2 linked regions of the Nothobranchius furzeri genome follow. The protein of the gene in region 1 interacts with the protein of each later gene in a pairwise test. Links are inferred from orthologs where the notes say so. Each region holds a gene or a part of one and is shown in the gene's direction. Other genes may lie near its edges. The genes, in order: xrcc4 and aplf.

The links.
Region 2: the proteins of xrcc4 (region 1) and aplf interact in binary tests that used the Homo sapiens proteins (3 or more experiments, as listed by UniProt). The link is inferred for Nothobranchius furzeri from reciprocal best matches to the Homo sapiens genes XRCC4 and APLF.

What each region holds. Positions count from the first base shown.
Region 1 is NC_091746.1:37,559,055-37,562,881, reverse strand, and holds part of xrcc4 (DNA repair protein XRCC4), read left to right. Parts: intron 1-1,887; coding exon 1,888-2,054; intron 2,055-2,441; coding exon 2,442-2,573; intron 2,574-2,783; coding exon 2,784-2,935; intron 2,936-3,827.
Region 2 is NC_091746.1:29,719,258-29,723,758, forward strand, and holds the start of aplf (aprataxin and PNK-like factor), read left to right. Parts: upstream 1-1,645; 5' UTR 1,646-1,762; intron 1,763-4,501. Other genes in the region: fbxo48 (F-box only protein 48), read right to left, coding at 1-96, 248-541. UniProt on the Homo sapiens protein: Histone chaperone involved in single-strand and double-strand DNA break repair.

The sequences.
Region 1 (3,827 bases):
AGGGGCTTCAGCAACTCAGAAGAGGTGTTTCCACTTCAAGGAGCATTTCAGCCTGAGTTTATTTACTTAACATTTCCATAAGGCAGTGAAGTAATAGCTGGCAAGTAGGAAACACTCAGAAGAAATACAGAAGGTGAGAATACATCATACATAATGAAAGATGTTTTTTTTAACTCCCCTGAGTAAGAATCAGATCAAGGAATAATCAAGAAAAAGGCTTTACTTTAGTTGAGATTAAAGGTATTCCTATCAGATGATCCCACTCTGATCAAAACGAGTATGCCTGCAAATTTAGGTAATCTTTGAAATTGTCTTCATTTACTGGGGAAATTCCTCTCTGACCCATCCCTGAGGAGCAGTGAGCTGCTGTTCAGATGGTAACTTTCTGAGTTTAGTATCTTGCCCACGTGTACAACCGCTCTCCCTGTTCAGTCACAACTTCCCCAATAATACATGCCTGCAGACATTCACCCACACCATGAGGCATCAACATGAAGATATATGAGCTTCACTCATGCACACATTCCTCCTCAGGTTGTCATTTTTTCGTCAACACCCTCAGCCTCTTCTTTGGAGGACCACGTTTCTATTAAGTTGCGTTGTAATAATACCGGTATGTTTGAACGATTACATTCCTGACAAAGTCCAATTTATTTAATTGATTCATTCCTTTATACTTATTATTATATATAAACACTGAAATTTTGAAAAGACGTCTGTTATAAACGGTGTAAGGGTAAAATGGTGTAGCATTGTGGACGCCGATAGGGAGCCTAAGTCACACCCATCTACTTCTGGACCATGGGTCCCTGGAAGAAAGAAAAAATGAATGCAAGTTATTTTCTATTTCTGCTTGTTATGTACCATGGATTTCACATATGATGTCCGTGAACTTTAAAGACTCAGTCTGATGCCAAGAACTCGCTTATTTTCGAACGGAGAGAAACACCATTTTAGATTTTGTGTGAAAATAAGCCCAGGACTACAAATGTGAATCACCAAAGTGACATCATCGAACCAGGCACGGATAAAAACAGAGAGAAAATGGCTGTAAGTTCAGAAAACTTCAAATCCTTCCTTCAGGAGGAAAGAACCACCATAAATATGGCCATGTGGTAAGTAGCAGCTACGCTAGTGGAGAGGAGATTCTGAGGTCACATATGCAACGTGCTGATGTCTGATTTGTAGCCATGCTAATTATGAACTTTTACAAGCTGATAAATCTCAAAGTATGTGACAGGTGTGGTCGAAACACCCGACATTACTTTTCATTTAAATAGCAGTACAACATATGTGCGATCCAGGGTCTAAGGCAAAGTGGATTAGAAAATAGCTCTTTTAGCCCCGTTGACTTGCATTCATTTTTTTGTTCTTCCGGTGACCCAAGAGCCGACTGGAAAGGGAGGAGACTTAGGCTCCTTTTTAACTTTACTGTAGTGATTAAATGTTTTACAGCACAAATAACATACAAAATATTTTTTATACAGTAGGAATTAAAGGAATAATGAAATATAACAGTAATTAGTACTTATTCAATCATAATGGGTTGATGAGATTTGATCATTTAATTCTGGTTTAGTTTACGTTTGAAACTGCTTCCCATCCTTTAGAAACATGGGGTTGTAGTGAAAAGCAGTGTGAAGCAATTTATAAAACTTGTCTAAATCCAGCAAGCATTTTCAAAGAAAGAGTGACCCATATACCATGGCTACTGCTGATAATGTACCAAAGAAACTAGAAAACAAATCAATCAGCCAAATCCATGAAATGAATACATTTGAGATGCTTTATTTTTTATGGATGAATGTAGATGTGCAGATCCAGACACCGTTGTTTTACGGGCTCAGGCGTACTCAATAAATAAAGGTTTATTTGTGTCTGCTGTAGTTCAGACTGGGCTGTGTCCATCTGAAGGCCGTCTCGGAGCCAGTGGAGGCAGTAAGGCAGGTGCTGATCCACAGTCTGCAGCGAGGAAACACTCTGCAGCAGCGCAACCACAAACTGACAGAGGAGAACCAGAGGCTGAGACGAGAACACCAGAGCATCACTGCACAGTAAACACATACGCACACACACACGTGCACAGCAAACAAACAAATCCCGCTGCTTCAAGGTGACATATAGGCCAGACAGTACCATTGCTCAGAAACACTGAAAGGCTACGAATTGGTGATGTCGGTCGCGAACAAAACGACTCTTAGAGCGGAATGACTTACTCCGACCCCCTATTTGAGTTTCACACAGCTGCAGATGTCACGTGAGGGAAACAGCTATTGGAGGCCAGCTCTTATCTGTCCTCTGTGAGCCTCTTAATTATCAGGTTAAAATGTGAGATCACAAATATAGTCAGATTATATCCGGATAAGAATCAGTGTGTGTGTGTGTGCGTGTGTGTGTGTGTGCGTGTGTGTGTGTGTGCGCCTGCGTGTCTCCTCTTCCAGGCTGAAGGGCTACTCTGAGGGTAAAGAGGCCCTTGAGGCAGAGCTGTACTCTCGGTTTGTTCTGGTCCTCAATGAGAAGAAAGCAAAGATCCGCAGTTTGCAGGAAACCGTCACAAACCTGCAGGAAGCAAAGTACGTTTTACACATTAACCATCTTTACAAGTTTACCATCGGTGCACAAACTCAGCATGCTGAGGTGCCTCACATTTTCTTCAGAGCTTCAGATGCTCAAAAAATGTCTTTGATTCTGTATTTATGACATTTTCTGAGTCACTGAGTTTCTTTTTAAGTTTGGCGGTGACCTAAAAAGCTTTGTATCATTCTAATGTGGCTCCTCCACAGGACTTCTGATGGACAGAGGAGCAGAGATTCTGCAAAGTCAGACCAAACAGCAGGTCAGGGTGGTGAGGTGGAGGAGGATGAGTATGGAGGCAGCACTGATGAAGAGCCAGAGGACGTGCAGCCAACACCAGTTCCTGATCTACCTTCCAGAGGTACGATAGTCACTTTGCTGTTCTCCAGAACACTCATATGATCAACTGGTTAACCATTTAGTGTCACCAGTGGTAGGTGTTCACTAATGATTTCACTTTATCAGATAACTGAATGTTGCCAGCAAGCAGCAAATGCGAGTTTACTGAAATTATTGAGGGGGATTTGATTTTACTGGACAGATTCTTGTAAAGCTCTAACCTGCTGATATTTTGGTAAGATCAAATGTTTCTTAAAGTGTTTTGTAAAGTAGGAGTTGGGTATATATATTTGAACGCGTTCACAGTTTCCAGTTAAATAAATCCAGCTAGTGAAGCAGATTAAAGTTGAAAGGCTCTATATGGCTATTAATAATATCTGTTGAGAATCTATTGTTGTTTTTTCAGTGTCAGTCTTTTATTCTAGATCACATTTTCTAGTTTAGTTATTTATTCAAGATAAAATAATCACTGATGAAATCTTTTACATAGAGCAGATGACCGAGACGTTTTTGTCTCAAACTGGAAATCTAATAATCCAGCTAAGCTGATATTTTCTTTACATTAAAAATATATAAACAGATGTATTGTTTAACATCTGACAGCTATTTATGTGTCTGTCGGTCGGTCTTTATTACAACACACCTACAGGTTTATGCTCCAGTGTTCTTTGGGTGCTTTAAATTTTTGAAAATGTTCACTTTAATTTATGTAGTTTTAGGTTTTTAAAAATACTTGACCTCAACTGGCATTGGTTGAAAACAAAATAATTGACTTAAATGGTAAAATAATCATTTTGAGCATGAACATTAAGCTGGGGTGGAATGACCACCTACAGTATGTGCTTCGGGCCAGTGTCGGCTCTCTAATGGCACTGACATGATAAGCCAATGATCTGTAAAAAATCATTTTTGTC
Region 2 (4,501 bases), about 7.8 Mb from region 1:
CCCCAGCAGCTCGTCGGCTGAGCTCACGCTGCTGTATCGGCCTCTCAGCCAGTCTCTCTTCGCACAGCTCCGGGTGTAGTTTCTCACCAGAGTTACCTGAGACAAGAGGCGGGACAGAAAACACCTGGTAAGTGTTGGTACCGTGATCTGGGTCTGGGTCTACAGCGGCAACACTGAACAGGAACCTCTCAGCTGATCAGCAGCAGAGATGTTTAGTTTGGATATGAGGGAGGGCGAGGAGACCCACCTTCCAGGAGAAGCCGTCCCCCCGGTCTTTGTCCACCTCCCTCTGACAGACCGCCCGCACCAGCAGACACTGCCGCCTCCACAGCTGCTCGCTCTGCTCGATGATGTCCCGCCACAGTCTGCAGGTCCGTGAGGCGCTGCAGAGGCTCTCTGCATCCAGCTCTCCGAAGATCCTCACGCTCATCTCCATCGGCAATGCTTCAGCAAAGTTCTGAGAGTCGTCAAAGGCTTTCGGGGAGGCTCTTCGTCCACAGAGCAGGGACACGGACGACCTCCTGGCAGGGTCATGCTGCATATTACTGCAATAGTCCAGAGCAGCAGCAGCAGCAGCAGCAGCAGCAGCAGCAGCAGCAGCAACGCACGAGAAGTTCTCTCTGAAACAAAACCAGAAACAAGAATCAGGGTCAGCACAAGTTCAGAACCCATTAGGAATAACAGTCCCAGTCCCACCAGGACATTTAATCAGCTGTTTTCCAATTCAATAACAAATAAAACAGGTTTAGTTTCTGACATTTTAAATTTATGTTTGATGAATTTTACCAAATTAATAAAATTTTATTTAAACAGTTTTCAGTTATTTTTATGTTTTCACATAAAATTTAATGTTTTTTCTTCCCCTCTAATTAAATCCTCTCTTTTGTCTATATCTTCTTACAGTTTTGACTAAAAATCCTGAATTAAGACAAAACTTAAGTTTAGTTTCGGTTCCAGGAACTTTGAGGAAGCGGTTCCATTTTCCTGAGTGGACCTCAGTCCAGTCCTTCTCCTAGAACCGGAACATCCTCACCAGAAGCAGAATACTTCATTCATACACGCACTACTTGAGGCTGCATGGTGACGCAGTGGTTAGCACTGTTGCCTCACAGCACAAAGGTCACAGGGTCGAAACTCGGCTGCAGCCTTTCTGCGTGGAGTTGCGTGTTCTCCCCATGCATGCGTGGGTTTCCTCCGGGTACACACATCACAACACGCCCTACAGGTTATAAATTGTAAGACGCTTTGGATAAAACACAACATACTACTTACTTCTACACGTGATAATAATCTGAATCTGACCCAGACTGCCAAATCATTCTTGAACAGAACACCGATTTGAGTCATTAGTCTGTGATAAATAACCAAAAATCACCGCTAAACACGAACTCAACACAGAACCGGAGCTCGTTGCATGGAGCAGGCCAGTAAACACACTTGAGTTCGGGTTTGAGAGCGGAACCAACCTCCAGCCTCCGCCCCGGTTATTCAAACAGCTCGGTTCTGAACGAGTCGGTTTCAGGCTGAAATTGGAGATGGCGGTAAAAAGGTTTTCACTGGTTTAATCAGAGGCTCTTACCTGCGGCAGATGTCTGACAGCTGGTGTTGCGACAATCCGTGCTCCCCGTCGTAATGCTACTTTGGGGAAATGCGCATGCGCCTATTGCGTCACAGGCTGTTTACAAGTCGAGACCGCTACCTGTGGAAGTTTGCGTTTAATCTCGTCACTTATCTAGTTACTTTCAACTCTTCGAAGGTCACAGTAAGTATTTCTTTAAGTTGTTTTGTTAAATTACTGTTTGCTGTATGTTTACCTGACAGTTTGCTTGTAAATGCCTTCTAAAATGTCGTTATTATACTGTAAACAAGAAATTTCTCCCATTGTTTACAGTCATTCTGAAAGAGTCCCAAATTAACATCCAAAAGTTTTATATTCTACTGTTAGCAGAGTCATCAATCGTGCTGATGGAGGAAATACAGCCTCATCACTGCTTAGCTTCTCAATCAGGGAACACCGGTTTCTTCTGTCACGTCATCTCTTATGCGTCACTGACAGCGATCTCATTGGTTGAATTAAACCACATGACATTAGTTAACAAAAGATAACCCATAAGTATTTACAATATAAACATACAAAGATAAAGGTATACATACAGAGATAAAACAAATGAGAACACAAACATAATAATGTAATATAAATCAATATTAAATCATGATCTTTTGCAGATCTCAGTTCTTAACATATACATATAATAAATTTATCATAGTTGCATAATAATCTCCAAAATTATACATTCAAACAAATAACTGACTGTTGGGGGAAAAGCATGTTTGTTCTATGTAGATTAATTTTTCTAATAAAGGAAATACAAATCTCCATTTTTATGAATACTTTCGACATGGGTGAAAGTTGGTAAATCGTCATTGTTCTGAGAATATTCAAATATTTTAGCAACTAAGGGGTTAATTTTTACGAAATGACTAAACTGCTTCTTACACTATCCACCTTTTTTTCATAAAATAAATTAACAGTAGCTACCGATTTTCAGTAAACCTGGACAGACTGAATCAGCTGTTGAAATGCGCGTTGGTAGGAAAATTCGACGAGGAAGCACGGATGTTTTTTTAACAGGTTTTATTAACTTGTTGTCGATACATTCAGAAAATACATTCAATATATCCATGGATCACATTTTACAGTTGTTTACAACTGCAATAACACACATGCAACATTAGGAAACCATTAAACAAACAAACAAGAAATAAACAAAGAACTGACGAAAACATATATAACTTAAAAACATAACACTTAGGGGTCTGCTGTGTCTAAGTTGAAATGATGAAATAAGTTGATGATCTTTGTTAGTTTGTTGTTCTTCTTTTTTAATTTTTCAATGCTGTTCCAATATTTCATAAGGTCTGTAATTCTTAAATTATAGATGGAGGGGATACTGTTCTGAAAAATTTTTATGTAAATAATATTTTGCTAAAATAATGATTAAGTTAATTATGTATTTTTCATTGGATGATAAATGAGGGTTAGTAACAATAAGAAGTATTTCATACATAGAAATATTTTTTGTAAGTTTTTGGAAATGTATCTTTGTAAATGGAACCAAAACAAAGTTACATGAAAGCAATCAACAAAAACATGGATAGAAGGTCCCAACGGTCGTTCAGCAGGACCGAGCGCAATTTGTGGCAGCGGCAGCGCTTGTGGCACTTACAGTGGCAGCTCTGATACTTCCGGGTGGTGCCACGGCTTTTAGTGGCACCCGCGGCTTTTAGTGGCACTAGCCACGCCCCCTACCACTGCTGCCATTACACTTCCGGGTGGTGCCACGACTTTTAGGAGTAAGGTCTAGCTGCGGACATTGCCCAGGAAAAACGTTTTTCCTGGGCAATGTCCGCAGCTAGGTATTATTGGATTATTGACTTTTAGTGGCACTAGCCACGACCCCTACCACGGCTTTTAGTGGCACTAGCCACGCCCCCTACCACTGCTGCCATTACACTTCCGACTTTTAGTGGCACTAGCCACGCCCCCTACCACGACTTTTAGTGGCACTAGCCACGCCTCCTACCACTGCTGCCACGGTACCTGCGGCTGTAGTAGTGACCTCAGTAATTGCAGCACTTATGCATCATCGGCCTCATCATGCCAACGTTTTTATTTTTTACTTTATTAACAAAATCAAAACAAACAAGGCTGTCACCGAAAATATTTGAAATATTTCAAGCGGTTTACAAATGCGTTTCCCAGTCACTTCATGCATATACAGTGTAATGCAATCAGAAGCGTTAATGCATTTATTTTTTCCATCATTTTTGTTGCTCCCCCAGACGAATCCGTGACAGATCTAGTGGAAGATCCACAGACACTTCCGGGTGGAAGACCGGCGGTGGGTCACCGGCCTCCGGTACAGAGTCAGGAAAAGCAGGGGAGCACCAGAGCCATATGGAGAGCGCCAGAGCAGTTCTCAATTTCTGAAATAATTTATGACAACTGCTACCAATGTGGATTGTGGAATAAAAAGAGATAAACTGTTAGTTTTCTCAATATTGTCATTGCAATCGGGACAGATACCGCCATCTGCCGGCTTAAAATGGTTATTGCAGTACATTTTAAACTTTTTTAAAACTATTTCAATCTTCGTTTTCACATACATTCAGTTTACAATGTAACCTACATTCAACGTACTGAAGAATAAAGCAAATAAAAATGACCTCAGTTGAGGAAAATAAAAATTACATTTAGAATTTGCAACAATTACCACATGACACTACACCATAAAATAAATCATGATGCAAAATAATAATAAATTAAAAATGAAATATCATCAACAAACAAAAAATGTTCAGAGGTTAATATTTCAGCATTATATTTCAAACATGTATGATTAATTGGACTGTAATTTAAAGAACAAGAAACTCAGACATTGTTTCGTACTACTCATAAATCCATATGCACAATACAAAACTTTATTGTTGTGAAACCACA